Yarrowia lipolytica: one gene and its partner. The protein of the gene in region 2 interacts with the protein of the main gene of each other region in a pairwise test. Links are inferred from orthologs where the notes say so. Each region holds a gene or a part of one and is shown on either strand. Other genes may lie near its edges. The genes, in order: YALI1_E28170g and YALI1_E38056g.

Region 1 (15,151 bases), about 990 kb from region 2:
GCTGGTGCTCGTACATTGCCGGAATCGAGGACGTGATTGGGCTGGGCACTAAGCAGACATGGAAAAGGTGTCAATGAAGACACTTCTGTCATAACTAAGATCTTTTTCATACACCGCGACCGAGAGCTGGATCTGTCCTTCGAGCACTCGACTACGTGAACATGCACTCATCCACTGGCCAGCAGCAGCTCCCATTTACCGTCTGCGAGACAATCGTCTACAATATTTGGAGATTGTCCTGGGGACTGGTAGACCTGGAAGCAGATGGTACTTAACTGGGAGCCACTTTCCGTTGTGTGTTTCATTCCACACTGCCTACATATCCACAGTTCCTGCTCTATCCTACATCTCCAACTGTGTTTCATTATTCCCTGAGACCTGGTTGTAGAGGAGAATTGGAATCGGATCAACCCCTTTGCAAGAGACGGGTCGTACGCGATTCTCCTGAAGTCTAGCAAGATCAAGTCCATTGGATCCCAACCCTTCGGCCCATATGGTCCCCGTGGTCAATCAGGTGAAGCTCATCACCGCCGCCAGAGGATCTGATGAATGCACATATATCTTCTACAAACGAGATGAACTACGCTTTTACTTTACTGTCGCGCATTACCCGTCTCTGGTGGCCATGATACAAGTTCTTGTCAGACCAGTCTTCACGTCTATCCAGTAATTCTGCACCCCTGGTACGAAAAGATCACTTACTCTTCTCAACTACTCGTATCCAGCTAGCACACCATATCTACGAGGGCTGAGTAAAATTATAGTATGTACTGTTCTCATACTTTACTCATGGAATTGTTCAACATATCTAGTGGTCAAAAGATTCACAGGTTGGCCCATCGGACGCCATAAGGAAGCCAGGGCTTGTAAATGTTGTACCAGCGAATGTTGTCGCCGGAGCCGTAGGACTGCCAAATGCCTGGAACCCCGTTGACCTCGGTGCATCCCCAGGGTTCCCGATCGCCGGTGCACACTTGTTCATTGTCTCGTTTGTTGAGGGAGTCGACAGGAGCAGCCGCTGCCAGACAGGCAAGGAGAGAGACGGTGATGGTAGAGAGTTTCATGGTGAATTGGTAACTGTTAGTTGGTAATGGTGAGTTGATAAATCTGCTGCTGAATCTGCTGCTGGACTGATGATGATTCGGCACTTCCCCTGAACTACTTATACCCCGAATGAGACTCGGGTCTGAACCTCATCCCGGACTTGAGAGGTTCATGGGGCTCTGCGACCGCTTCATCAGGTCATTCAATTGGTTTGAGGACCCCGAAGTTTCCCAAACAGGCACTTTTTGATTCACCATTGTCTCCCAATGGTATCCACATCGGGTAATATCTCACCATGAGGTAGAAACGGGCACCCTGTAGAGGACCAGGGCAATTGACATTGTATCTCGCAAGTAGAGCGTTTCGCCGACAGATATTCCGACTAATTGCCCCAATTTCTTGCTGGAGAAACAACTAAATCAACTAGTGGACTTTCTGGTGGGTTTTCTTCAAGAAATTGTGTCACATTACGTCCCATGAAACGTCCTTTGGGTAGTACAAGTTCATTGGCGTCGTTCTTGGGAACTTCCAGTCCGCAAGAATATGAGATTTAACACTCAAATGAGCCTCTCATCATTCCATGAGGCTCAAACAGGTCTTTCATAACTCATGCACAAAACAGGTACTTGTACTTTTCAACAGGCACTTTTTAATAGGCACTTGTACGGTATCTGGAATAGGAAAATCTCAAGAAAGACAATCAATGAGGCTGATGACTCTAGATAGAATCGACCCACGTAGTAATGGGGCGTTATAGTCACGTGACGTCCGCTTTATAACCACGTGACCTGAGCACATTCATTTTTTTCACACAAACATTGTGTTAATCCTCGTTGCTCCTCTCCCTGTGCGACAATCAATCCAACTTCACCGGAAATCACTCTACGGTTCAGAATTTTGATTCATATGAATCTTACGCTCACTTATCTTCCCCGTAATATCCATTTACCCCCCAATGGCACCCCGTTATTGACCAAATCGTCGCGGGTTTTGGATCACATTTTCCCCGATTTATACTCCCAACGCCGCTTTAAACTTGTAATCCCGCCTGGTTGGCTCAGTTGGTTAGAGCGTTAGTCTCATAATCTGAAGATCACCAGTTCGACCCTGGTACCGGGCAGATTATTTTTTCCGCCCCAGAAACAACAAGCGTGATTTTTTTGCTCAGAGTCGACACAATCGTAGGTGGTAAAAATGACTGTATTTTTCCCCTTCTCGGCCCCCCACAATATAGCCCTCATTTCGGCCCCCGCTTTCCCCCGAGAATACCTCCAGGGTTAGGGATTCCCAATGGAGGTGAAAACTTTGGTGCGATATGTGGGATCATTCAGGCCCGGCTGAGATCTGCTGGAAAAGACAACCTACCTCGACAGCTGCGGTTTGCCTACGGCTGGAGAATTCGCACGAGCTTTTTACGGACCATGCTTAGGGTGAAGAAAGGAAGGGCAACGTACCTTCCGAAGCTGGGGTACAAGCCTCCGCTGCCTGACGACGATCCGTTATGGAGCGGAGGTGACACCCGGAGCTCCCTGAGCCTCTACGACCATCTCGACTGTCCGAGCAGTCTGTGGCAGGATGACCACAAGCGGTTTGTGGCGTATAAGGGCCAGTGGTCGTTTTTGGATGGAGGGCGGACTCGCAAGGCTGGCAACGATGTGCGGTATGGACGAGAGACGGTGAACCGGCTGAAAAGTGCCGCTATGAACCAGGAGGGGCTTTCTGCGGGCCAGCAGCGGCGCAAAATGGTGAATCTCATGGCGCTGGGCGTGCGTTTGGCTGCCCGCAAGGCCATGCCCATCAAGTATGTGGACTGTGCTCCCCAGACGGAAGACTCGCTCAATGCAGATCACGCGCTGCTGGGCCAGGCGTTTGGAGCCATCGAAAGCGCATTGCACGTGGACATGAACGGCGACATGCTTGGGGCGCCTCCCCAGGACTGCAAGTATCTCATGACGCGGCGGATCTGGCGGATTCTGGGCAAGACTACCCTGGCCCCAGCACTCATGGGCTACATCGTGAGCTCGCTCAGAAACACAAAGGCGCACCCGCAACTGGTGATTGATCTCTACAGCATTTTCGCCCAGACCCAGTACGTCTACGACCTGCCGATTGGCAACGCATGGGGCTACCAGCTGAACCTGGACCGATTTTTCCGCTACGCCTCGCACCACGTGTGTCCGTCGCCCAAGCCCTCGGACCAGGAGCTGGCGCACCTGTGCTCGCTCTTTTCCAAATACAACCACGAGACGGGTCTGCCTCCAAACGTGCCGTTTTCGAGCCGGATCGAAAACCAACTGCCTCCAAACTGGCTCCATGTGTTTCTGCAGATCCTCAGAGACAGACAGTACCCCTGCGACGGCCGAACCTTCTCCAAACTCGCTCTACAAGTGTCAAAGGTGTCGCCCTCGGCACGCCAGGACCTCGTCGACTACCATCTGCAGCAATCGCAACGCTGGTGGTACCAGGACGAAAGCATCTTCTCGCTCATGTATCTAATGTGCAACCGAGGCGATGCCGAGGCGTCCATCGAGGTCATGAACTCGTCCAAGTTTGCCGACCGGTTGCTGGATGAGAAAACGCGCATGGGCGCCTTCCGCATGCTGCTCTACCGCGCAGTCAAGTTTGAAGGCATGCGAGACGGAGTGTCCGTGTTCCAAACAATGAAGGAAAAGGGCTGTGCTCCGGACCTGCAATGCTACGGGCTGTTGATCCACGGCTACAAGGAGCGTGGCTACTACGAGGAGGCCATCACCCACACCATGGACGTGGCGGCCCAAAGCTACATCCCCACCGAGATTGCCACAGACTACTTTGAGGCGGTGGCCAAGAGCAAGGACCTCAAGGAGACGCTGGCGGTCTACTGTCAGCTGTACACGCCGCATTCGCTCATGGAGCTGGGCATCTTTGCCTTTGTTCTGCGGGGCAGCGCCCACAACTCCATTCCGCTGGACGTTGCGCTGGGCGAGCTGCCGCAACTGGAGCCCCGAAAGGCCGGGTTCCGCGTCTACAAGTCCGACGTGGCCTCGTTGCATATCCTTTACCGCGCAATACTGGACCAGGCCGACCAGGTGGAGCTGGTGCGCGATCTGTACGAAAAGTACCGAGACCATGTAGCGGTTCAGCTGAGTAAGGGAGACCGGATGCCGGCGCGGTGGAAGTGGCTGCTCAGCGACATGGGGTTTGCGCTCATGTCTTCCTTCGTCTCGTCGGTTCTGCGCTGCACCGGCGACATTTCGCAATGTCTGTGGCTTGTCAGAGACTTTGTCGACGTGGCCAAGGTGAACATGTTTGCCCCCGAGGTGTTCAACACGCTGGTGACGGCGTCGTGTTACAGCGGGCGGTTCGATCTGGCCGAAGAGGCACTCCGACTGGCCATGACCATCAACACGCCCACCAACAAGGTGGTTTTCATCCCTCTGGACGCCCACATTCGCGCCGGACGGCTGGAAAAGGCCCGCGTCTTCTGGAACATTGCCGTCGACAACAACGACGTCTACTCGTACCTGGAGCACGTGGCGCTACTGCTGCCGATAGCCGACGAGCATGGCTGGAATGTGCCCCAAAAGCTGCGCGTCGCCGTGGACAAGTTCCTCGACGCCCAGGAGGCCAAAAAGGAGGCCAAGGCCGCCGGATACGCCAAAGACGACACAGCAGAGCTCGAGCTGCTACAGACGGAATCCAACGACGAAATCGCATCCCACGTCGGACTGGACCGGGACCCGGAGACGGAGACGGAGACGGACAACCAACCGATCCGCTCGGCCAGATAGCACCGACATTTTTCTGTATATATGCATGTGATAGGAAGGAGGAAAAAGGAATAGTATGACGACAATACATTATGATTATTACCAAGATGTGTACTTCTCGGGTTAGGCCCGTGTGGTGTGTACCCGTATGGTCGTGCAAGACCATTCATATAATACATTAATACTGTTACAAAGGGCTTTTGAAGGATCAGTCATGGGCAATCCAACCCAGTCTCCATCTATCCAACCCAGTCTCCACCCACCTCACAGATTCTTGGTGCCGACAATGGGATCAATCTCGTACACCAAGGCAACATCTGTACTGGTGGTTCCACTCCAGCCTCGGTCTCCACTGGAGGTGACCATGTATCGACAACTAGGATCGACCTTGATGGACGACAGAATACCGCCCTGATGTCCCGGCACAATCCAGAACGGCACAGCCTGCTGCTTGGAGCTCTGCACGTCGTACAGCCGAACATTGTCGTGAGAGCCGCACAACACGTGTCGGTTATTGGGCATGGCAGCCACGGTGCTCACGGCACCTGACACGGACGGGAACTTGAACACCTTAGATGGCTCGTGCACATTGCCTCGCAGCGAAAACTCCTCCACCGTGCTGTTTCGTCGACCAACGTAGATGCGGTCTCCGTCGGTCGACCAGCATGCACTCATACACCACGGCGGGGTGCCTTGAGGCACCGCAATTCGTGTGATTCGCTGCTGCTGCCGTCTATCCCAAATGTCTACTGTTCCATCAATGGCCGACGTGAGAAATATGGACTCCGAGGTAGTGTTGCGGGTCGGCTCTTCGCTGCCATCACCATCACCTGGCTTGACACTTTCGCTGGCCTCCTTATCTGCTGCCACGTCCACCTCCTCCTTTTTCACCTCGGACTCGCCCTCCTCCTCCTCGTCCGACCCGAACAACGACCCCATGCTTTTGTCGTCGTCTTCCTCCTCGTCTCCCTCGAGAATCTCTTTGCCCCGGGCCGTTCTGTCACTATCCAGCCCCTCTAGACCCAGATTTCGAGACACTATTGCGCCTCCGACTGGCTGATACTGCACGGTGCTGACCTGGCCAGAAATGCCGTCAAACGTCCGAACCACATTGCCCGTGTCCAAATCCCACTCGTTGACGGTCTTGTCCCACGATCCAGACAAGAGTCTGTTCTCCCACTGGTTGAGAACCAGCACCGATACCGTAGACGTATGTTTCTCGAGGTACGCCTGGATCTGGCCCTCGTTGTGTCGTACGCTCATCAGCGTGATTCCTCCACTCTGCAAACCCGAAAGCAGCCACAGACACCGCGAATGCGCCGCCAGCGAGTACACGCACGACAGCTTGGGCTCGTAGAGCCCATCCTTAGGCTTGATGTCTGTTTCATAAACGGGCTGTTCGTTTTCCCAGTACGACGTCAGAACGCCAGCCTTGGTCACACAGTCCACAAACGGATGCCGTTGGGCTACCGTCAGGGGCAGCTTGCCGTTGACGGACGCAAAAAAATCGTACTTGCGCACAAAGCCGTCCTGGCCACCGGTAAACATCCACTTTAGCTCCCACGACAGATCTATCGCATGCACGGGACAGCTGTGGATCGCCGCCACGTATGGCACAATGTCGTAGCCCTCGCACGAGTCTGTGTTGGTACAGAGCGGAATGTTTCTGCGGCCGGTGTACTTGAGCACATGTTCGGGAATGTCGCTGGAGCCACTGTCATCAAAGACAATGTGCGATCCGTTCGACGTCGACGCCGCCATGTGGCCGTTTGACTTGGACCTCGTCACCACCTCCTCGTCCTCCTCTTCCTCGACCTCTTCGTCTTCTGCCTCCTCGTCTCCATCGCCCATCACCACATCCTCCGTGTCGTCCATCTCCATGTTGTTTTCCAGCGCGTCTTCAAACAAATCGTCCTCGTTCTCATGCTGCTGGTCGTCCTCCTCCTCGTCCTCCTCCTCCAGCTGGTTCAGCGCCTTGTCGTCGAGAAAGTCGTCTTTGGACATTTGCGTGTCGTGCAAACTGGCAGTGTCCTGGAAGTATCGTACTTAGCTCCGCATGTTGCAACCGCCAAAGTTAAACGGGAGTGCACAGCGGGACAGAGGGGGACACGAGGGGGCATTTATATTCACAATGGGGCCACAGAGAGTGACACAAACACAAAGGTGAGAGTATTGTCATTTCTTCAGTAATTTCATCAGTCTTACGAAAAAGGAACTACTTTTAAAACGAGCATGAGAACGGCAGTATGTATCGAAACCCACTTAACTAAGATCTAATATTAGTCAACTAAACTAGAGAACCATTAGTTAAAAGAGAAGGAAAGGTGAGTGTAAAAATTAATATAAAAAATATATATAAAAAATAAAAAAAGAATAAAAAAGAACTGAGTAAGTACGAGTAGAAGAACAAGTACAAAATGTCAGTACTCGTACAAATAATTCAGTACTTGAGATCTATTCTATCCATCTATGAAAATTATCGGGTTCGAAAACCACCTGGTTTCATATTCCTGACAGCTGGGTATACAACTCAGTTACCAAGTATTGTAAGTACTGTAGGTAGTACACACTCCATTCAACCCACATTCTCCTCCAGTTCAAGCACTTTGGTTCTTCTGCCGTGCACTGATGACTTAAAGACCCTCTTTTCGTCGTTTAGATGCAACTTTTCGACGTTTTCGACTTTCTCCTAGTCCAGTCTTGACTGTAGACGCTCCTCGCTCCTCGCTCCTCGTTCCTAATCAAACAAAAACAACCGTTCAGACACCTCTTTCACCACCAGATCCATGCCTGCGTCCAAATTGTACCCCGTGTACGCACTGCAGCCCATTATGGTGGTGTTGTGGCCCTCGGGGATCTGGTCGAGGTCCAGATGGCCGCTGATGCGTTCAACGGTCTTGTCCCGCTGATCTGGGTCCACCAGATCCAGCTTGTTGATCCAGATGAGCACTCCGGCTCCAACCAGTCGGTCCTCGTTGAGAATCGCTTGCAGCTCTTTGCGGCAATCGTGGAGTCGGTCGGTGGCACTGGCGTCTACCACCCAGATCATGAAGTCCGTCTTCTCAAAGTAGTTTCTCCAGAAAGGTCGCAGAGTCTTTTGGCCGCCAATGTCCCAGATGTTGAGCTTGTACTGGCCCCTTGTCACCGTGCGGATGTTGAAGCCCAGCGTCGGAGACACCTCGTTCACGTCCTCGTTGAGAATCTTCTTGACTATCGTCGTCTTGCCCGAGTTGTCCAGACCACTGTGTTAGTACTGTTCCCTCTCACACCCAGACACGTCGCTTCCTCTCACTCACAGCATGAGCACACGGATCTCCTTATCCTTGAGCTTTTGTTTCTTGATGATCGTGAGTAGCCCCATTTGTCATGTCGCCAGGAAGAGGAGTTGTGGTGGAGCACATGACAACTGCACAGGAGAGGTTGGTGACAAGTGAAGAGATCAAATTGGGCGATTGAGTCGAAGGACTATGGTTGGAGTGTTAGATGCGCCAAAGGAGGGTGGTAAAGCGATGAGTAGAAAGAAGAAGAAAAAAGAGGGGGAAAAAAAAAACAGGGGAAACACACCCCTTGCCGCGACGCACTTGCCGCACTCCCACTCTCTCTAAGTAGAACATCAACATAACAAGTCAAAGTAACACATAACAGCACATGAACGCCATCTAAACCACCCGTTCCTGGTACCAAAATGATCCTCTGTATCTGAGGAATCCATTTCTTTTATTCTTTAGTCGCCTGTGAGAATAATGGGCAAGTTACAGTCGAATCTATATTACGCTTACAAAGTACTGGATGAACCGCAGAGTGTGTGAACATGTATCACAATATCTCTTCTGTCTACCAAATTCGCCAATCTCCTTTCCCCAATCGACAAAACCTCAATATCAGCCAACCTCAATATCCAACTCACCCCGCTATATAATGTATCATATTAAGGTTTATGCATACTGCACCAAGCATGCATACGCGGTCTCAATATATACCTCATCTCATATATAATTACGGCATATCGACCCAGCTATGACGGGATGGATATATTTGCACCAGGCGTTGCGGCTGCTTACGCCGTATCCGCAGGCCGTTCTCAACAACAAACGGTCGTCGGTGGCTGGCTTTTCGCTCGACTACGGACTCTGGGCGTTCGTGGGGGCGGTGTGTCATTTCGTCTTCACCCTCACATACATCAACAGCGATCTGGTCCATCGGCAGTTTGTGCAGAGATACCCGTTAGCGTTTGATATGCCCAGCGCGTCCGGGGTGATTGCCCTAATTGACTTGAACGAGTCATTGGTGTGGGGCGTGTGTGCTGTGCAGGCGTGGTATTCATACAGACACACCCAGACCAATGCGCAGTCGTGGTCTCTGGAATGCAAGGTGATTATGGGTCTTTTTTTCGGCGTGCTTGTGTTCCTGCTGATGGCGGTCAAGTCCCATCCCTTTGCAAAGGTGCCCTCGCCTCCTGGAGTCGGCTATCTGGGTATCAAGTTCATTGACGTGGTGGACTGGCTTGGAATCATCGGAGACTTCAGCGTCTACGCCCGTTACGTGCCGCAGGTGTCGTGCAACTGGACGGTGCAGAGCTGTGTGGGCTCGTCGTTTTTGCTCATTGTGCTGGATCTGGCGGGCGCGTTTTTCGGGATTCTCGACGTTCTGGGCGCCAAAAAGGCCAAGCCCACCAAGGAGAGAAACCGAAACAAAGTCGTGCGGGCCGTGCGTCCCTCGGGTCTCTTTTGGGCATGCTGGTTCCGCTTTTTCTGGGATCTCGTTCTGCTCTACCAGCAGGTGAAATACAAGGGATGTCGTCCTCTGGTCAAGAGGAAGTACGTGAAGCCCGTGGACGTGGAAGTGATGGGAGAAGAAGACGACAGCGATGAGGGCCATCGACTGTTGCGTTCGGGCGAGGTGGAACTGAGAGACATGGCGTGACCGTGAGGATAGAAAATCGTGATACACTGCATTTACATATTTAATGATTATGACATGAGAGGGTAGAGAGAGTGGACACTGCAAATCTCAAAGAGCACTGTAGTCGTTGTATTCGGACCCACGCCAGACACACTTGTCAACTAAACATTCAAGTAAAGTATCAGCTTGAAATCACATAACTGTGTCGAATGGGCGAGTTTGTAACAGAAATATCATGTCAATAGTATATATCGGAGACTGTGTGACACTGCTCTACAGTTTTATACGCTTTTTTCTCTACGAAAGCAACTGGAGCACCAGACAGAAACCCATCACAACTTCTTCTTTCAACTAAAAGTCAACTAAAAAAGACCATGCTATATGTCTCGGTTGCGGGCTTCCAGACACCATGAGAGAGATACAAGTGTCAAGAGCGAAGAATCTGAGACAGCTGTTTCGGTTGTGTCTTCTCACGTGATCTTACATTGCTTACTAATCCAGTACCAATAATAACCACTCTGTTGGCTGTGTATACTAAATCATGTCAATATATCCGAGTATATATAGAGAGGAGGTGTCTACTGAAACAAGTAATGATAGTAGAGATATTCAAAAGACAGAATTAATACATACGTAGACCCCAGGATAACCAAAAACCGTGCTCTTCATCAACATATTAACAATTCTAAAAGTGCATACAAGAATGAACACAACCTGGAATCGAACCCACGGGACCCGACACCACTCTCCAGACTACTGCATGGGTTGAAGAAAGGATGGGGATTGAAGAATGAGGTGATTATTGGTGTTGTTCGACCGACTTATGTGTAAACGAGGACAAGATTCCTTCCTACAACCACTTATATCGCTCCTAACTCCGATTCGGCTCCGACAGTATACTCTTGTCTCACGGTTGTTGCAGTTTCTCCCGTTTAGGTTGACTCTCTGTTAACCCGTACCCTGAAAAATCTATCTCCAGTTGACGCATCACCATACGAGCCCTCACTGACCGTATAACAGCACACACAACCATGCTGTGGAAGAAGATGTTTGGCAAAAGCGTGGCGCCGGCCTCCCGGCTGGTTGCCCTGCGGCCGTTCCACTCTACCGCCGCGCGATCCAACGACTGGTTCGGCAGCATGACAGAAAACAAGGAGTCCATCAAGCAGGATCTGGACAAGGCGACGGCAAACAAGAGATCCAAGGAGGTCGAGCAGAACGCCGACGAGACCAAGGGCAAGCTGCCATCGTTCAAAAACGACACCAAGCTGCAGGAGTACATTGCCGAGCAAAAGGGCGAGGCGGAGGTGGGTATTGCAAAGTACGGCACCGCCCTCAAGCAGCGGCTGTGGGACGCCTACCAGAGCCAGCACAAGGGCTACGACAAGACCAAAAAGGTGTCTGTCGACGGCCGGGAGTACCAGATGGTGCTGTCGCCCAACGAGATCAAGGCGTTCGAGCCCTCTGTCTACTGCAAGTCGTACCGAATCGACGGCACCTGGAAGAAGGCCCAGCTGCTGCTGCGAATGCTGCGTAAGATGAACGTGCGTGAGGCCATCACTCAGTGCCAGTTTTCTGCCAAGCGAATGGGCCGACCCGTTGCTGAGCTGCTCCAGCGAGGAGTCAGCGCCGCCAAGGACATGAACATTGACCCCGAGACTCTGTACATTGACGAGATCTGGGTCGGCTCGGACCCCCGAAAGTTCCGGTTCGTGGACCCGAAGGGCCGAGGACGAGCCGGCATGAAACACGCCGAGTACATCCACATCCGGGCTATTCTGCGAACCCCCGTGACCCAGCAGCGAGAGGCCCGTGACAAGGAGTACAAGCGCCTGGCCAAGAAGCCCGTGTTCCAGCACGAGACCCGAAAGGTGGGAGATGGGTACCTCAAGTCTGACTACCGATGGTAATGTATATAGCTAGGGCGAGTGACGAGCATAGCGCGTTGCTCGAACGAAATGAACAAAATGAGTAACCGATGAGCGAATAGCGTGCGAAACGAGTTGTTAGTTCTTAACGAGTAAGCCACCGAAGAATGAGTAACAGAAGTAGCAGCAACGGGGTAGCAGCTGGAACATATCAGGTGACGAGATCGCTTCCATGAAACAGGTGAAGATGATCTAAGAGCTCAGAGGAACGAGTACTGTATGTACCAGTTGATATGTAAATGACGAAGGGCTGTGCTTAGACAGTAGAATACACTAATCATCTGTCGAACATAATCTCGGAGAAGAGGTGTTGGTCATACGTCTGCACTTGCACCTACTTGTCAGGACATTTATATGAATGGAACAGTGTGATCTGGAGTTCTGACTATTAACATCTAGAAGTACGAGTATATATGTACTGTTCCAAGATACACCTTCCGAACGACTCCAACTTGTCGGGTGGTCGTTGGTACTCCATCATGAAGTGTTGCGGCAGGTTGGGCTACAGTCCAATTGTACCGACCATCTTCCTCCAAGTGCCGTCCCTCGGTCTGTGCAACTTATAAGTCTAATGAATTCATGCTATTTACTCGTCATCGAAGCCAGTGAGCTGCTCTCGAGCACGCTGGGGGACTCGGTTAGTATAGTAAAAATGGGGTGCAGTGGAGGCTGACGGTATGAGCCGATGACCGCAGGGCCTGCGACTCAGACCGTAGAAGCTCAGTAGTCTGGTCAGTTGATCTAGTCGACTGCAGTCTGATTCGGTTGATTGAGGTAGTCATGGTGGCTTGGGATCAGCTCGTCCAGTTACCAGACAGACCAATCACAGAACAATCACAGAAAATCACAGACAATCACAGACAATCCACAGACAATCCACAGACAATCACAAGACAAATCACAGACAATCACAAACATCACAGACCAATCACAGACTATCACAGACCATCAGACAGACTGGCAGTTTTGTCAACCACCGACGTCCATTGCAACGCAACAACTCTTAATAATACTCACGAGGATATGATTGGGGAAGGGGGCTGTGATCGGGGTAAAGGTACTTTCTTCGTAGAGGAGTCAGTGTGAGCGCGGCGACAGGGCCGGCGATTCCAATGGCGAAGGCGAAGAAGAGATGGGGTCGGTTATGAGCAGACCATCGAAGGTACTGGGTTGTGTTAGTGGGGCTCAGACGGAGTCAGTCTCTACATAGTCTGCAGACATCTCGGTGACGTGGCACAAACGAAAGACCCGAGAGTGAATCAGCTGTTCATTCCATTCATATGGTCGTTCCATTCATACGGTCATTCGTTCCACCCACCACGTCTCTTTGGTGTTGGGGTCACCTTGTGTCGATTGACATAGCCATTTCTGGGTGTGTTTACGGCCAGGCCGCGGCGTTTTGTGCTCTCGAAACCCGCTGCGCGATACTCACTCGAAAGGGGCCGTTCCAGAAGCCGGGGTTAGCGTTGATCATTGTCGAGTGTCCGTTTGTGTCTCGTTTCCCTGATATTGGATTTTGGGCGACAAATGCACAGTGGTGGTTTTGGCTTTTAGTTACCCTCGTCGTGATTGGCCCGTGGGCTGGATCTGCTTAGTAAGCTGGGAGGAAAAATTCAGGTGAATTTACGGGAATTGAATGGTTAAATAGGAGGAATAAATGGGGAAATACGAAGCGAATTAATGAGCAGGGAGACAGAGAAAAGTCCTCAATAAAAATAAAAAACAAGAAAAATAGTAAAATAAGATAAAACAAATAAAAATATAAATATAAACAAATAAATAAAATAAACACCTACCAAACTCCCTACCGCCTCAACATCACATGACGTCCAAGTCACATGTCCACATGTGGGGTAAGTTTCAAGATGAGCACAACTTGTAGCCCGAAAAGTAGACGATTTGTACAAGTAGATATATCCCGAAAACATCTAATCATTCTCTAACTGATTAGTAAACATAGACACCAACAACTACCCTACAGGCACCCACCGTACACAACGAGTTCCCTCTTCTCATATATCGTACATTGTATATACAATCACACTGTAATTACGAGTCTAAGATGCAACAGTCAGTTCAGTGTGGTCCTCGTCCCCTTGTGCGCCACAAAAGAGTCTGAAGCTGGTCCAACTTCCCCTCCCCGGCCCGATTGACTCTCACGTGACCTCTTTTTCTGCTTTATGCTCCTCTTTTCCAACACTTGCACGTGTCGGTCCTGTCTTAGTTGCACTGTGTGGTCTCTCTCTGTGCCTGTTTGACTCTGGCTGATAAGCTAAGCTGCATAGTGTCCACGGTCGCATCTCTCAAGCCGGTCTAAGAACTTTGTCAACTGCACCAACACATTCGAAAACAGTACAAGAAGGACTGGACGACAGCAACGGACTTCTCTCAGCAACTCTTCTCGGCGCGCCTATGGAATACATCAAGATTTCCAAGGTCTCTGACGTGGCGCTTTTCCGCAGAGGCAAGTCCTCCCGGGGGACTTTGCACCTCACCACCCACCACATGATCTTCCAGCTAGAAGGCTCCAATCCGCACGAGCAGGCCGATCGGGTGGCCGGCGGGGTCTCGACGGCGTCCGATGACGTGGCAGCTCTGGACCTGAACAAGGCCGGCGAAAACGGACACAGACAAGACACAAATGGCGACACAGATGGCGACACAAATGGCGATACAAATGGCGACACAAAAGGCAACACTAGCAACAACAACAGAAACGATAGTAATGGGAATGGCGGACACAAAGCCGACAGCGGGAGAGGTGGAAACAGCGACAAAAATGATAGCAAGAATGATAGCAAGAATGACAGCAAGAATGACAGCAAGACAGTCAGCAACATTCCAGTTACACCCTCGGAAATCTGGATCTCGTATCCAATCATCTCGTCTGTGGAAAAAAAGAACGGCGTGATCCGAATCCGCTGCAGAGACTTCACCTACCTGGCTCTGCACTTCCATAACGAGCCTGAGGCCAAGGACGTGTTCGACAGCATCCAGAAGCTGTGCTGCCTGCCATCGGTCGAGCGGCTCTATGCATTCTACTACAAGCCCGGCAAGTCCGAGCGACGCTTCAACGGCTGGGCGGCCTTCAACCCCCAACAGGAGTTTGGCCGCCAGGGCGCCTTTGCCAAAAACAAGTGGCGAATGACCTCGCTCAACGAAAACTACGCCCTGTGCGCCACCTACCCGCAGCAGCTCTCGGTACCCGCCTCGGTGTCCGACAATGTGCTCAACTACGCTGCTCGGTTCAGGTCAAAAAACAGACTTCCAGTCTTGTCCTTCCACAACAGCTTCAACGGATGCACCATTGCACGGTGCTCGCAGCCGCTTGTGGGTCTCAAGAAGAACCGATCGCCTCAGGATGAGAAGGTGGTGGCGGAGATTTTCGGAACCACCGTCAATTCCGAGTACGAGACGCCGCGAGACAATCTCATCGTGGACGCCCGGCCCGTGGCCAACGCCGTGGCCCAGCAAGCGCTCGGAGCAGGGTCCGAGAACACAGACAACTACGCCCGCGGCTCATGCACA
Region 2 (16,770 bases):
AACACACCACCACCACACATACTGAAGGTCCAATACCTCATACATTACACAACCGAAAAGATGTCTGCCACTCTCAACGTTCTGCGATGGTCCGCCCTCGGTGCCGGTGTCGTCTACGGCTTCGTTCACAACCGAACCCTCTACTCCCAGGCTGAGAAGAAGGTGGCTGATGCCAAGTTCAAGAAGCAGGAGAAGCTCATTGAGCAGGCCAAGGCCGAGTGGGCCCGACTCCACCCCGCCCCCGTCGCCTCCACCGGTGTTGTTACCGATATCTCTGACGACAAGTTCGACATTGAAGCCTACCTCAACCACGCTTTCCCCGAGAAGGCCTAAGCGTATTATTTATGCATCGAAAAGCTCGACGAGCATGTAATTAATTGACCATTTGGACAGGTTATGAGGCGAAGTGGCTTACCAGCGGTTCTTTTCCCTCTTTGGTGGCACGCCTTGCGCAGCTCCCTTCAATTTGATTTATGTATGTGACTTGAATGTGGGTTGTAGTTGAGTGTAGTTGGACACAGTATGACGTACTACAAGTACAAATGGTAGATGGAGCCTTGAATACCAGATACGAAAAAAGTTCTCCATGTTCAATTGATTTAAGCCACCCTTTAGATCTGATCTTTCCATGGTTATCTTACAATATAGACATGTTGATGTAACTCTTCACATTACGAATACAAGCACGAGGTGCTTGTTCTGATTCTGACTATATACACTTATCGGGGAACGTCCTCGCCAGTTCTGGACATTCCAAACACTCGGCCGCTTCCAAGGCCAAACTTCTCCCGCAGGCTCTCGGCAAACATGTCGAACCGGTTTCGCCAGAAGAAAGCGCCCACAGAGGTCAGCTTATGCTTGTCGGCAAAGCCCCGGATGTCGAAGAAGTCGGAATGCGAAAGAGAGTCCTTGACGTCACCGTCCTGTCGGAACACCCACAGAGACATTCGGTGGTCTCCAGAGTTCTTCTCGGGGGTGGAGGGCACATACTTGACCAGAGTGTCTCCGAGCTCGGGCTTCACAAGAGGCTGATCGACGGAAATGGGCACGTTGGACACGGCCCAGTGGACCTTGGTACCAAAGGACTCGGTCTCAGGGACGGGGTAGTCGGGATCAACCAGCAGGACTGTGTACTTGGCGTCCTTGGGGATGTCCTCGAATTCCTGGATCTCGACGATGGGCAGCTCGGAGGTGAGCTCGGTGGATTGCAGTGTTCCGGGAGTGATCCACTTGCCCTTCTCGTTGCCGGGGAAGTTGACTCGAACTCGAGCCTTGGCGTCAATCACGGGCATGGTGTCGGGAATGACATGCATGGTCTCTAGACTCTCGACCAGCAGAATCTGCTCGTACTTCTTGTAGTCGGCCTCGGCAAGATGTCGGTAGACGGGGTGATTCATATCGACATTGCCGTTCACGTGGTTCATCATCACCTGGGGGTTGTGGACCTCGGCCTTGCCCATGAGCTTGATGTACTGGTCCTTGAGAGCCTTGTCTCCAGAAGCCTCGAACTCCTTAGCAATCTCCTCGGCCTGCTTCTTGATGGCAGCGCTCTTCTCCTCGACAATCTTCAGAGCAGCGGGGAAGATTGCATCCAGACCAGGGGGACTCTTGTACAGAGCTCGCTTGTTCAGATCCTTGATGGAGGTGTGTGCTCCGGACGTGGAGCCGCCGGTGAGAATCTGGGCCAGCTTCTCGTCGGCCACCCGCAGAGTCTCGGCAGAGCCACTGTTGTTGGTGATAAATCTTGCTCCTCGTGGCGCCAGCCGAACAGTCGATCTAATCATGGCTGCTGTGTGTGAAGATGTGATATTGACCTGTGGAATTTTTCAGAGTTAAAACATGCACATTGGGAGGAGAGAGTGTAGGGATGGAGTGACAGTGATTCAGGTGGTGCTATAAGTACTAATAATGACAGATCAGCTGAGGTCGTTTCAAAGCAATAGATTTTTTCTGTGTCATTATTCAAAAGTGTGTCCTTGGCCAAGTAGTTTTCTCTATATAAGTACTTGTACCTTCCATATTTTTTCTTGAACATGTTAAGCTTACTAAGCCAATCATATACTTAGAATGAACTCAATTTCGGTACATGAGCGTACATACAGTAATGGAGATGGGGTGAGTGTACGAGGCGGCTTATTGCTGTAATAGTGATTTAAGAGTAAAAAACGAAAATATAAATATAATAATTCGTTCAGACTAACGATTTACTGTGATTTTATTATATTTATTAAAAATTCTCCTATGACACTTATTGAATGCCTAACAGCATCTCCCACTGCGCTTAATTCATGCTGAACTGACATGACGTGTGCTGTTCAAGTACAGCTGTAACTAACATTGAAATCACCACCACCAGCTCACAAGTTCGCCACATGCCATGTTGTTAAAGTCCCTGGCATTGATAGCAAGCTCGTCGCTCGCAGCAACCTTCAACATAGGAGACGATCTCTTTGCCGACCCACAATTCACAGTACAGTTCCACAACCGACCATTGCGACAAGCAGATGTCCAGAACGGCCTGCTACCGCATCGAGATCCGGTATATGGCCATCCCCTGGGGTACGAGATGATGCAATTCAACGGCACAAACCACATCTGCGGTATTCCGGAAGTCACGACCACGAAGAGCTCAAAATCACGAGAGGAGGGAGAACTGTCGCCAACAGAGGCCCGAGACAGAGCTTTGGAGCTCATGTTGCCTCTTCTGGGTGACTGTCTCTTCTACGAACAGGGATTCTTCTCGTATCGTTTCTGTTACGGCTCGGGAGTCGTTCAGTATCGAAGACATGGAGACAATTACTTCCCTCGAATCTATCCTCCTCCTCAGGCAGACGATTCGCCCACGTTCGTGCTCGGTAGCTTCGAGAAGGACGATACGACCAACACGGTCACCAGTGCCGGAGGAATCCCCTTTCTGGCCCATAGACTCCGTTCGGGAACCCATTGTCCTCTGACCGGCGCCAACCGAGAAATCGAGGTTCAGTTTGTATGTGACAAAAACGTCCAGCATGACCATATACTGTGGATCAAGGAGAAGCGAACGTGCAACTACGTCATGCAGGTCGGCACCCCGCGCCTCTGTAAAGACATGAGGTTTCAGCCTCCTCCAGATGAGTCTTTGCCCATCATGTGCTACAGCGTCGAGTCTGAGGCCCCCGAGTTTGAGACCATTGACGGCATGTTTGACGGCGTTGCTCACGTGAAGGAGGAGCAGGAGGCTGTCTCGGCTCGTGCCCACCAGTTTGTCGGATCCAATGTCAACAAGGACAAGATTGACGAGATTGAGGTTGCATGGAGATTCACCAAAGCTCGAGCTCTCAACTACATTGGAGTCTGGCTCGGCGACTGCGTCAATAGACAGACACTGTTCAAGGAGCTTGGCATTGCCACTCCTTCTCATGATGCTCCTTTCATCATCCAGACCAGATCCATGTTTGTTCCTGCTCCCATCAACCGCCACTTTGAGGTGCGTCTCATGATCACTCGTCAGCAGCTGCTGCTCAGCATTAACGATGATGATGTGACTCTCGAAGAGAAGTATGCATGGTGGCAGGAACAGGGCGACATGTCAAACCTGGAGATCCAGGGTCTTACTATGTTAGATGACGCTGGGATCGAGGATGTCCTTGCCAGAGCTACTGATGAAGTTATGAAGCAGCTTAACAAGGAGGCCAAGCAGTCCAAGAAGCTGGCCAAGAAGAAGGAAGCTGCCTCGACTAAGAGGGAAGAGGCCAAAAAGCAAGTGGAGGCCTCGGTGGAGGAAAAAGCTGTGGACTCAGCTGAAGATGATGGAACTGACACTGTCACTTCAACACAGACCTTCTTCCGGACTCAAACACTCTCCACAGCTGAGGCAGAATCTAAACAGATGCCAGATAAGGCCGAGGAGGACGAAGATGAAGATCTGATTGTCACCATGTACTTTGAGGATGGCGAGTTCAAGATTGAGGGTTTCGAGGTTGCCGACTTTGAGGGCGTCAAGTCTGCCATGAAGGATCTCGCAGATAAAGAAGATGACGATGACGATTACGAAGACTATGGTCTGAGCGACTAGAGTTCAAATACTCATATACTAATTCATGCATGATAAGAAATACAATTGGCCGGCTATAGCAGAGTCCTCGTTTATACCACATTTAAAACACGCGCTACGCTCCTACTCCTTACTCCTATCACAATAATCTATCAATACATAATTTACACGCTGACATATTACATACGCCAGACAATTATACATGTTTGCTTCCTAGGCAAACACTTCGTTATCACTGGGCTTTCGCCAGAACATTTTGCTGGCGGGCCGCTTCTTGGGACCAGGGATCTTTCCACTAGGCGGCAGCTTGGATCGCACATTTCGCTGCTTGACAGGCACCTGTTCGCCCTCAGGAATGACGTCGGCAACTTCAAGCTTGCCATGAAGGAAGGGGCGAATCAGACCAATCTGAGAGTCAGCAGATTCTCGGTCAATAGGATCGTATTCGGGGGCCTCCAGCTCCTCCACAGTACCCACACTTTCCACATTGTCTCTATTGAAAGCTCCGTTGAGTCTGCCCTGCAGAAGATGCAGAGGAACGGTGGAAGTAAGAAGACCGAGCTCCTTATCGAGACCGAGTTCCTTGAAACCAAAGAAATCGTCGCCAATCGCCTCGGAAAAGTCTCCATTAACAAATTGCTCGGAGTTGTCCTTGAACTGCTGGTCTGTCATCTCTCCCTGACCACCTCCAGGTCGCAGCAGATCGCCCAAGAAAGACCCCAGGTTGTTCTTGAGATCCACCAACTTATGGCCGTGACGCTCAACGTCATCTCGGATGTACGCAGACAGCCCCTCGATAGACCCCGCGCCCGATTCCTCCAGAGTCTCCTTCAGAATCGTCTCCTTGCTGGTGTTTGTGTTCTTGAAATGCTGAGTGTAGGCCACCATTGAACGTCCCAGGTTGGATAGAAAGTCGCCCGCAATCTCTGTGAGTGCGTTGATGGCAAACGACTCGGTCGACTCAAAACCAGAGTGCATAGCAATTCGAGAAGCCGCTCGTTTCAGAGAAGCCTCACACACCTCTTTATCGTACTCATCTCTATTAGGAAGACGAGACTCGATATCCACATCAAAATCGGTGATCTTAGGCGGATTGTAGGCCTTTATCTGCGACGAATGCAGATACTGCTGCTGCATTTGTCGGATGATAGAAATTTTGGAGCAAATCTTTCGAATCTTTTGCATCTCGTTCAAGTTGTGGTCAATCTTGCTGACTAGACCCTTCGCAGGGGCAACGTATCGAGAAGGAGTGTTCTTGAGGCACTCAATATCAACATGGCTCCAAGTGTCGTCAATTCCTTCGTCGGGGTTGTCGCATGAAATGGCCCAGGGGAGCTCAGGAAGGCCGGCCTGGGGGTCGTACTCAAGTAAAAACGGCCGTCGGGGAATGTTTAATGGAGCATCAGCCTTGGGCTGTGTACTATCATTCACCTCTGCTGCCTCCTCCAGCAAGTCCTCCTGGAATTCCTCAAACTCCATGTGGGGACCGACTCCTCGCACTGCTGCTTCGGCTGAAAGGAAGTCACGGAACCCCTTTGATTTGGAAATGACAGTAGCGTCTGCGTCTGCCTGTATCTTGTTGTCCTTAAACAGCCGCGACCGCTGCACGGAAATGAGCGTCCGTTTGCGGCCAGTGTACTCAGTCCAGAACTGCTCCTCGAGATCATTGTCCGAATCGTCATCGGAATCACCACCAACCCCATAATCATTATTCTCAGCAGAAGCAGTCAGTTCCTTGGCACCAGTATGGCCAGCGGGGACCAAGGCAGACACGTTCGCCGACTCGGGCTCTTCGGTGGCTTCCTTGGTCTCGGTCTTGATATCGTTGTTGTTGGTATCCGGCTTAATATCATCCGAAGTCTTGTTGTTACCATCAACATCGACGTCCATAGACACATCTTCAACCTTGATGTCAGAGTCGTCGGCGTCTTTAGCATCCTCATCCACCTCCTCAATCTTCCGCTTTCGGCCTCCCTTCTGGCCTTTTCCTCCTTTCTGGCCCTTCCCAACAGTTTTGCCAATAGACATTCCTGTTCGAGCCTTGGCACCTCCCTGCTCTTTTTCCTCCTCTTCCTTGGCCTCCTGAGCCTGCGCGGCCTCCTCTGCGTCTGCCTCGGCCCGTGTCTTGATGGTGATGTCGGGGATGAGAGGAATGAGCGTCAACGTCTTCTTCTGCATGGCAATAGCATGGGCTCGCAAAAAGTGCTTGGGATTAGTGTTGTAGGTCAAGCAGTTTTGCCAGATGAGCATTAGGTCGTTGACAAAGTCCTTCTTGCTGTCGTATTGGAGGTTCTTGAGCTTCTTCATGACCGTGTTGAGATCCATGGGCTCCTTGATGACACTGAAGTAGTTGGGCGCGTCCCGCTTGTTGACCTTGTTGAGAAATGCAGTTGAGTGCTCTGTGTAGCCTCGTAGCTCGAGAACCACCTTCTCTGCAGCTTCATAAAGATCCTCCTGGCCTACACGTTCTTCGTTGGCCCACTTGGATCGGTTTTTGCGCACGTCCAGAATCAGCTTACGCAGCTGGGTGTCTGTGAGAGACAACTTGTCTCGCTTGGACTCAATTGTGGCCAAGAGGTTCTGTGTTAGTATAAATAATAGGAAGGTCGTTAGTAATGAAGATGCTCACCTTTAGAGACAGATTTGCGGCTCCAAAATTCGCCTTGGTCGGCTCCTCCTGTGTGTTTGTTTCCCCTGTGTTCTCCGACTCCTGGCTTCCCTCCTCGGCCAGATACGAGTCCATGGCCTCGCTGTCATTTTCAAACAGATGGTACCGTTGCCATATCCGGGCCAACAGAGCCGAGTCTCGTTTTTGGATATCGTCGGAGGTCGCTGGTCGGTCTTCGACCGATACCGAGTCCACTAGTGCTACACTGCTACCGTCCGTATGCTGGTCCTTGTTGTTGTTTCCGTCTGTTTTGGGACCCTCATCTTCGTCATCAAAATCGTAGTCATCTTCCTCCTCTCGTACAGGAGCAGCCTTGATCTGGGCAGGAGTCTCTTCCTTTTTGCGTTCTGCCAGGATGTCTTCAATGTCCACCTCCAGGTCCCCTCCCTTGATGTTGGGGTATAGCAGCGGCACAGACTTGTCGAAAATCATGTGCCGCACCTTGAAGGCCAACGCGACACAGTCCAGCGACACGGTCTTCTGAAAGCCTTCATTCGACGGAGTCGGCGACGGCTGATTCATCTGCAGATGCTTCAGATGCAGATGCGTTGAGGAGGACGATGTGCTCACCACGGGTGTACTTGGAGTCGGGGTTTCGGGACGTGCTCCATCCAGATTGTTGTTGGCGGCGTTTTCCTGTTCCTGCCTGAATCCCAGCGGGGGATCCGGCAACGGATTGTCGACAAATATCGACAGTTTGCCCTCGACCAGGTTGTCCCACATGGCGTCGTTCTCCAGCACTTTTTGCACGACCTGGTGTTCCTGGATGGTGAGAAAGCCGCGCCAGAGATCCTTGGCTTCAATTTCGCGGGCGACGGCAAGCAGATCACGTGATCGCCCGGAGGCCCACACGTTCAGCGACGTCATGTTGTCGTTCAATGTCTAAAAGGCCGAGACGGTGCTGATCGGCTTTTTTCCCAATCGGAGAATGTGATGGTGAGATGTGGTGTTGGAGATGCAGTATAAGTGGAGTGCCAACCTTAAACTCGCGCACCGGAGGGGAGAGATGGATCTGGGTGATGGACGTGAGGGCAAGAAGTTAGTATGCTGTTGGGAGGGTATTTGGCGTCGGAGGGGATGACGACAGATTATGAGTTAGTTTGGGGGAAACGACACTAACTCGTAAGTTGTAAGAGCTACTGAGGAGAAGTGTAGCTGACATGAAACAATGATATGAACGATTGTGTGTGCTCGTCCGTCGTAATTGTACTGTACAGTTATTACTCATTGGTGTCTTTCACTTAATTACGAGTCAGGCACCGAAGACAATTCCGCAGACATAATGTGACCTTCCCAATACACGGACAAGGCAAGTACAATATGAGTGTCAGCTTGATATATATAAGGAGGTGTGACGACTCTTGGTGAGCAGCGTCTTTATTAATCCGGCAATGGCCCACAATCGACAATTCAACGTTTCTCAGCAATCAAACAATTCTTCGACTATTCGCAGATCCCCAGACTTGGACATTGCTATAAGCAGTGATCTTGATATTTTCACTGGTACAAGACACGTTCCTGGACCTACCGATAACTACAGAGACTACCAATCAATCCTCGACCCCATGACTTCATCCAGAGCTCCTGTTTCTGCCCGGAGAGCTAGCTTCAAACGGCATTCCCCCATGGATCATTCGGAACGACCCTCCAGCTACTCACACACAAACAGAAGATCCATGTACACGCATTTCGAACATGAAGAGCCGTTCATCAGACAGGTCACCAAGGGTCTGATCGTCATGGGTGGATACCGGGATTTCCAGAGTGAATATACCACTAAGGTGCTGAGACCTACATATGAAAAGGAGCTACTTATGGAGCATCTTGCATCCCACATTGAAACGATAAACGGGCTGATTGCGACCCATTCACGCAACTTGCGAGCGAAAAGGTCGTTTGGAAGAAGATTGGTTTCGATTCTGCTGTTCAAACCGCCTCCCCACAATTCTGCTCGCTTCGAAGATGCCTCTATGCCCTGCACTTCTTCTGATCCGTTTGATCATCTGAAGCTTCCTGGTCCGTTGGTCTCGTACCATCTTCCCTTGTCTCAGCAGTATTACCGACATCTGTTTGACATGGCAGATCATGTTACTTTGCATGATGATGTAAAGAGTATGATCTCCAGGGGTTTTGCTCGGGCTCAGGTGTTAGAGGGGAGCTACGAAGATGACTGACAGCCTATGGACTACTCACTCATGCTTGACTACGAGTACAAGTACGTCATACTAACGAACCGCACCTATCCACTCATCACTGAAAAACTGTAAGAATAATTAACTATAACTTATGTACGTATCTATGGACTGTTGATGGAACGGGCCATAGAAGGTAGTTCTTTTGTTTGAACATTCCAACATTCCATGCTTTTACCCGCTCTTGTGGTTGTCCTTTTGTCTCGATGCCCTCCTTAGATCTTACCCCAAAGAGCGTTTCGAACCATGTTAACGGCCGAGATCTTGACGGTCTTCCACAGAGTCTCGATGTCCATGGTAGAGGACAGAGTGTCGAGGAAGCCGAAGGGAAGCATGGCGGGGATCCATCCCTGAGCAAGCTCAAGAGCCCAGGCACCGCCGGGCATGTGGTACTGCTTAGCAACACCTCGCTTGAGGTGGTGAGAAGAGCCGGGGTAGTACACCTCAGGCTCCAGCTCGCCGGCAGTGTGGGCCATCTGGTACTTGGTGAGCATCATGAAGTGGTCATCGGCGTAATGCACTCCGGTGTGGCCCTCGGTGCCGACAGCAGTGCCAAAGAAGATGAGGTACTCGGTGACAGAGGCATGGAGCACAAACATGGATCCCATGGCTCCTCCGGCGTTGTTGAAGACCCACTCGTCAAAGTTGAGCTCGTTGATGAACTTGCCATATCGGTCGTGCAGAGAGGCGCCCAGATCGGTCAGAATGGCGGTCGAGTTTCCGTCGGGGTTTCGCTCCAGAGTCTGGTTGACCATGGTCATGAGCTCATCCTTGTCGAAGATGTATCTGTGTGGGAGCACGTTGATAAAGAGCCAGTTGGTGACCATGTACAGACCCACCAGCAGCAGGGAAATCAGACCGACGAATTTCATTGTGGCGGTTCGTACTGTCGGTGATAGCTAGTTGTAATGCGTGCCCCCCAGTCGCGTCTATATATACAAACACAATAGGCTTTGCCCAAATCACTTGCATGAAGAACCTTAGACATACGACCTGAGCGAGATGGGATGACATGACATGGCGTGTGGAGGTGACCGTCCGTGCATCCGCACCACCTTTTGTTGCAACTCGATCCCACCACGAATTCAGACTTGGGTTGTGTGGATTGTGTATGTGTGTGTGTGTGTGTGTGTACACGTGACCAACTCCATTCACTCCACTTCCAAAAGAAAAACACGTCTTAACCCCTTGTCTGGTCTCTCCCAGTTGTCTCCATTGCCTTCATAGTTAGCGCATGTTTTTTCACACCGGCGTTTCGCTTAAAGTTCCACCTTCGTATTCCTCGTTTGAAAAATCATACATGCCTGTTTCTTTCGTGTCGAACGTTACTGCACGATATTGTGCGTGCAGTGTGGGAGATTTGCGTAATACAGTGCAACGGCTCGGCGGGTGGGGGGGAGGTTGGAAACTCCGTGTCACGTGACGTGTTCTGAAGAAGCTCTCGGGTGGGTAGCAGGAAGATTTGCAAACAGTGTGCCAAGTACTGGCGGTATCGTACATACTGTACATGAGGACGGATCGTGACCACGTGACCGACAAGATCTGGAGTTATCTTGAATGGCGTATTTGTAGACGGCGTTCTATGTGATAGTTGTGTCTTCGTATCGTACTTGTACTTGTACTCGTAATAAATGGGGGAATGTGTGTTTTGTAGCTCGTATGACAGCCAAATAGGGGGCATATGCACTGAATACAAGGAAAAGTGATACTTGTATAAGTACAAATACAGTAGATGGAGAATGCAAGCCAAGAGTTTGACGATACAGTCACAAAAGGTATACTGCCGGCAATACACGAGCCATTGGATCAGTAAATCAATCGTTCAGTTTCTATTATGATCTGGGTTGAGGTGGGGTGGTGAGGGTAAGTAATTTAGGTGGTATTAGTTAGCTTAGGTGAAGTATGGTATATGTAATGTATATGCAGAAAAAAAAAAAAAAAAAGTGGAAGGACCATCAAAAATGGTCACAAATTGGAACTGGGAGTCTTAATAATCCAATAACTGCTCAAAGTGACTGCTCCAAGGCTGTCATTTTGGTCTGACTCCAGATCAATGCCACTAAGAGAGGCTACTCGTACTTCCTCCTCTTACATACATGGTTCTGGAAAAATTAATTAACGTTTGCAACATGCAAGATTGGAAAAAATTGGTGTGCTGAAATCCAACTGCACGAAACACATCTGCTATACTACCAAAAGACAAGATGGAAACGACGGAAAAGACTGCGTTCGAAGCCGTATCCGTGGAGCCTTTCTACACCGGTGGCAAGACCTCTCTCGCCGACGACGGGTACACCCTGGCCACCTCTTTTGGAGAGGACGTGGTGGTGACCAACATCAAAACTGGAGAGGAAATCTGCCGAATCGAGGGCGATAGTGAGATTCTGACGACTCTGGAAATAAGTCCCGATGCCCAATACCTCGTCACATGCTCCCGATCTCTGACAATGCGCACATACCGAATCCCCAGTGGAGAACTGGTTCGATCAGCCCGGGCCCATGACGCCCCAGTGATTGTCATGGCTATCGACAGCTCATCGAGTCTGGTGGCGACCGGAGGAGCCGAGGGAACCGTCAAGGTGTGGGATCTGGAGCGGGGATTTGTGACTCACAATCTCAAGGGCCATGGAGGAGTGGTTTCTGCATTGAAGTTTTTCGGCGAACAGGGCGGCTCAGTGTGGCGCCTGGCGTCCGGAGCGGACGACTGCAAGATCCGAGTTTGGGATCTCGTGAGCCGAAAGTGTCTCAAGGTGCTGGATTCGCATAACTCGGTCATTCGAGGTCTGTCCTGGAGCTCCGACGGTGGCATTCTTGTGTCTGGAGGCCGAGACAAGATCGTCAACGTGTGGGACGCCAACAAGTTCAAGCTGGTGCGAACCATCCCCGTGGGTGAGAGTATCGAGACAGCCGGTATCCTGAATGGCGAGGGTCTTCGAATCTATACTGGTGGCGAGATGGGAGTTGTGAAGATCTGGAACGGTCAGACTTCTGCTCTGATTGCTGCCCAGGTCCAGCCTGCAGTGCACAACAAGGAAAACGAGCGAGTGGGAGTGGTGGACATTCTGTATAAGACCGACAAGCTTGTGTCTGTGCTGTCAGACCAGACTTTTGTGGAGCTGGACGACGACCTAAAGGAGGTGCGACGTATTGTGGGTTTCCATGATCAGATCATCGATATGACTTATGTTGGCGAAGACGAGTCCAAGCTGGCGGTGGTCACCAACGCGCCCGACATTCGAATCCAGACCGTTGGAGGAATCGAAACCAACGTTCTGACTGGACATAGAGATAACGTCATTGCCGTGGACCGATCGTTTGACGGTACCTGGCTGGCTTCCTCTGGAAAGGATCACGAGGCTAGAATCTGGCACGTGCCCACTCTGACCTGCTTTGCTGTCTGCACCGGTCATGCTGGTTCTGTGGGAGGTGTTGCTCTTCCTAGACTTCCTCTTGAGGGTCGACCTCCTCAGTTCCTCATTACCGGCTCGCAAGATCTGACCATCAAGAAGTGGAACATTGCCAAGGACGGTACTGCGAAGGCCGAGTACACCCGAAAGGCCCACGAGAAGGATATCAATGCTCTGGACGTGTCTCCTAACGATAGACTGTTTGCTACGGCTTCTCAGGACAGAACTGCAAAGGTGTGGGACATGAACTCGGGTGAGGCTGTGGGAGTGCTGCGAGGACACAAGCGAGGCGTCTGGTCTATCAAGTTCAACCCCTACGAGAAACAGATTGTAACTGGATCGGGAGACAAGACCGTCAAGGTGTGGTCTCTGAACGACTTTTCGTGCCTGCGAACATTTGAAGGCCATACCAACTCGGTTCTGCGAACCGTGTGGACTTCTCTGGGCTCCCAGATTGTCTCCTCTGGAGGAGACGGACTCATCAAGGTATGGACTTATGCCTCTGGAGAATGTGCTGTCACTTTGGACAACCATGAAGACAAGGTGTGGTCTCTGGCTGTTCGAGGCTCCGATGACGGTGCCCAGATGGTCTCTGGAGACGGAGAGGGAACCATTACTGTGTGGAAGGATATCTCCGACGAGGAGAAGGCTGCCAAGAAGGCTGCTGCCGAGCTTCAGGTGGAGCAGGAGCAGCAGCTGGCAAACTACGTGCGGTCCAAGGACTGGGAGAATGCTATTCTGCTTGCTCTGACTCTGAACCAGCCCTACAAGCTTTTCTGTCTGTTCCGAGACGTGCTTGCTGATCGCCAGGACGAGGACTCCATCATGGGTCTGACTAAGGTCGACAATGTGATTGCTGGACTCAATGTCGAGCAACTGGAGCTTCTGATCAAGCGAGTCCGAGACTGGAACACGAATGCTCGATCGTCGGTGGTGGCTCAGCGGGTCATGAACTGCATTCTGGTTAACCACTCGGTTGACAAGCTCAGCCAGGTGCCCAAGATTTCCACCATGACAGACGCTCTCATTCCTTACTCGGAGCGACACTTTAACCGGGTCGATGAGATGTACGACGAGAGCTATCTGCTAGACTACGCTCTGAATGAGATGGACTTCCTGGACACTCCTCAGGTTGTGTAGGATGGAAATGGGGGCATTGTGAGGGACTAGGGACGGGTTATATAGGCATACCAATAGATATTGACATTATTGTGAGAACTGCGAGTGAACAGCACGAATCGTTCTGAACTTCGGAAAAAGATCTCGTGGCAGAGGGCTACATTGTAGTTTCTCGGGACGTATCCTCACACCGTATAGCGATCACGAGTCACGAGTGCCATAGAGCGAGTGCCACAATACGAATCACTGTGACCGTGTCTGTCGGACTCCGTCAATCACCATGACCGCAGAATATGCACTCGGATAGGACTCACAGTACAAGCCTATTGTATGTCGTCTTTGGATTCTGCTGCATCTGACTTTTTTCGCATATCTCCGTGTACAAGCAGTAGCTAAAATAACAGGGGGTGTATGGAGCTCTATAACGAGAGATATTTGGAAGATACAAACACTTGTAGTGAATAAGAGGTCAGTTCAGAACCTTGAGCGAGCATTCAGTATCAATTGTACCAGCTAAATAGTATTATACGGCGTCAGGTTATTACAAATACGACAATTGTTATTTCACGCACGCAATGTTTCTATTCTGCACTCCGACATGTGAAGGGTAGAGCCTTCAAAGCATGTCTTCAACACCCTAACCACACGTGTACTTGTACTGTAGTACTTGATGGAGATCACCATGCAAGCAGCAATCTGATAATGTGCACAATATGGACCAATTTCCCGGATATATGTCTCCGATCCCTCCATCCTCCGGCAGTCATCTGTCTACAGCCAAGACGCATCGGTGCTCAAGCTGCAGCGACTGATGACGTAGAGCAAAACTGATGACAGCTTCAGCCCCGTTGTTTGTTTTCCATGTGAGGTTAAGTGCTGATTAGCTGTGCGAGACTCCTATTTGGAAATGTCCGGAGATGTCAAAGAGCCAACCATAGAATACACCACGCCAGTGACAACTCTCGTTACTTGAGATGAAACCCATGTTTTATCGGCTCAATCACCGCCGCAATACTATCCTCGGCTCTTGTCACATTTTTATCGCCTTCCCTTGCCCTCATCATGCGTCGCATGGACTGTTGACGACTCCCGAAGAAGCAAAGATGGACGTTCCAGAGCGAGGCCTGCTCGTATTTAGACTTAGCCGAGGTGCAAACAGCGGGCATGACAGCGGGTGACGGGGGGTGGTTGTAGAAGAAGTTTGGAGGAGATGAGTAAGCCAAAGTAGGTGAAATTCTCTGGAGATTAGGTTGGCAACAAAATCGATCAAATCGGCACAGAAATCCCCTCAAAACACACACACCAACCCCCGCCCCTCGCTCCTGTTGTAAAACTCGACTGATAAATGTATCGCAACTCTAACACCACATTCTAACGCCGATAAGCTCGGTCTTGCCTATTTCGGGCCCTAAGAGAACCAGCGGACATTAAAGGCTTAATATTGCTACTCATATGTACGTACCCGTACTGTATCGGAGTTCAGATTAACCACTCACTTCACATCACACCCTCTCCTCTGTCAACAAACCACCGACTTATAAAAAGATGCACGTCCCCGTTCTAGGACGTCTCGAGCTGTCACATTGGCCCATGCTGTTTGTGTCGCTCTTCCTCGTCTGCCTCGAGTTTCTCGTGAGCTTCATCACCGCTCTGCTCCCCAACTTCTTCATTGAATGGTGCCACGACAAGGTCGAGATTCTGCAGGTCTACTTCCCAAGCACCGGCGAGGTTGCTCTCAGAAAGTCTCCCGAGCAGCTCGAAACCGTCAACGCTCTGCTCAAGGCCCGAGACTTTGTTGAAATCTGCGATTTCCATGGCTACCAGGCCGAAGAACATGTGGTTCAGACCAAGGATGGATTTCTGCTAGGAGTGCACCGAATCCTGCCCAAGAACCCTGCTGCTCTGCTCACCGACGACCCCGAAGTCCTCAGCACCCCCGCCCCTCCCCCGGCCTTCCTGGCTGGAAACCTCGAAGTCTACTCTTCGCCCCCCAAAAGAGGCTCCAAGCGAAGTGTGTCCTCCAAACTGATCACCCGACCCGTTGTCTACCTTCACCATGGTCTGCTGATGAACTCGGAGGTCTGGGTTGTGAACACGGACGCCAAAAAGTCGATTGCTTTTGCTCTGGCCGACCTGGGATTTGACGTCTGGCTCGGAAACAACAGAGGCAACAAGTACTCGCGAAAACACATGAAATACAACCCCGAGTCGCGCGAGTTCTGGGATTTCTGTCTCGACGACTTTGCGCTGTTTGATATCCCCGATTCCATTGACTATATTCTGTCTGTGACCAAACAGAAGTCTCTGTCTTACATTGGGTTCTCCCAGGGTTCAGCCCAGGCATTTGCATCTCTGGCTATCCGACCTCCTCTCAACGATAAGGTCAACCTATTCATTGCCGTTGCCCCCGCCATGTCTCCTCCTGGCCTGAGATCCAAGATTGTCAACTCCCTCATGAGAGCTTCTCCACAGCTGCTGTTCCTCTGCTTTGGTCGAAGAGCTATCTTGTCATCCTCTCCCTTCTGGGAGTCGGTTCTGGACGCAAAACTGTATGCTCGAATCATCGATGCTGCCTGCAGAATGCTGTTTGACTGGTACGGAGAGAACATCACCTGGCCCCAGAAGATTGCAGCCTACCACCACCTGTACTCGTACACCTCTGTCAAGTCCGTCGTGCATTGGTTCCAGATCATCCGAGCAGCCTCCTTCCACATGTTTGAGGATGTCATCAACTCTCCCCTGGACCCTCATCTGTGCAAGTACTCCACTGTCACCCGATACCCCACCGAGAACATTCGGACACCCATTGCTCTGATCTACGGCAAGACCGACTCGCTGGTGGACATTGACCAGATGCTGTCTACTCTACCCTCATCCACTATTGCATTTGGAGTCCCCAAACATGAGCATCTCGATCTTCTGTGGGGAGACGAAGCCGACACTCTGGTTATCCCCAAGATTGTCGCTCTGCTCGATTACTACACACCTGTGCCCAGAAGTAACAAGAGCAGCAGTGACCATATCAGCGAGCGTCTATTTGAGCCTGCTAACTCCAAGGTCTCGGGTCTGGGACTCAGCCAGGACCTCAAGTCGCCATTGTCTTTGAAAAAGAGATCTCTCTCCAACTCCTCATCGATCCAGGACTCTCATAAGGTCGGAGGAGACACAGACTCGGTTCTGAGTCTCCGAAACCTCACTCCCAAGGGGTACGCTCTTGGAAGTGCCAAGCCAGTGAGTGGCACTCTCAACCCTTGAACATTGTAAAAACTAACGGTATTGGTAAGAAATATAGGTAATGGTATTATAGAAGAAAACAGATTGATAGAGGTTGGGGACGGCCTTTTGAGCATC

What was found.
Region 1: the proteins of YALI1_E38056g (region 2) and YALI1_E28170g interact in binary tests that used the Saccharomyces cerevisiae proteins (3 or more experiments, as listed by UniProt). The link is inferred for Yarrowia lipolytica from reciprocal best matches to the Saccharomyces cerevisiae genes SPT7 and SPT8.

The regions. Positions count from the first base shown.
Region 1 is NC_090774.1:2,808,642-2,823,792, reverse strand, and holds YALI1_E28170g (uncharacterized protein), read right to left. Parts: upstream 6,798-15,151; coding exon 5,058-6,797; downstream 1-5,057. Other genes in the region: YALI1_E28224g (uncharacterized protein), read right to left, coding at 825-1,077, 1,339-1,385; YALI1_E28213g (uncharacterized protein), read left to right, coding at 2,466-4,814; YALI1_E28156g (uncharacterized protein), read right to left, coding at 7,531-8,035, 8,090-8,154; YALI1_E28150g (uncharacterized protein), read left to right, coding at 8,811-9,716; YALI1_E28130g (mitochondrial 54S ribosomal protein uL22m), read left to right, coding at 10,727-11,605; YALI1_E28107g (uncharacterized protein), read right to left, coding at 12,210-12,256, 12,641-12,788, 13,056-13,097; YALI1_E28097g (uncharacterized protein), read left to right, coding at 14,036-15,151. UniProt on the Saccharomyces cerevisiae protein: Component of the transcription coactivator SAGA complex. SAGA acts as a general cofactor required for essentially all RNA polymerase II transcription. At the promoters, SAGA is required for transcription pre-initiation complex (PIC) recruitment.
Region 2 is NC_090774.1:3,796,373-3,813,142, reverse strand, and holds YALI1_E38056g (uncharacterized protein), read right to left. Parts: upstream 7,569-16,770; coding exon 6,663-7,568; intron 6,614-6,662; coding exon 4,247-6,613; downstream 1-4,246. Other genes in the region: YALI1_E38131g (uncharacterized protein), read left to right, coding at 61-333; YALI1_E38113g (mitochondrial 54S ribosomal protein mL38), read right to left, coding at 720-1,784; YALI1_E38107g (uncharacterized protein), read left to right, coding at 2,378-4,054; YALI1_E38050g (uncharacterized protein), read left to right, coding at 8,093-8,875; YALI1_E38034g (uncharacterized protein), read right to left, coding at 9,109-9,765; YALI1_E38020g (uncharacterized protein), read left to right, coding at 11,098-13,440; YALI1_E37982g (uncharacterized protein), read left to right, coding at 14,965-16,674. UniProt on the Saccharomyces cerevisiae protein: Component of the transcription coactivator SAGA complex. SAGA acts as a general cofactor required for essentially all RNA polymerase II transcription. At the promoters, SAGA is required for transcription pre-initiation complex (PIC) recruitment.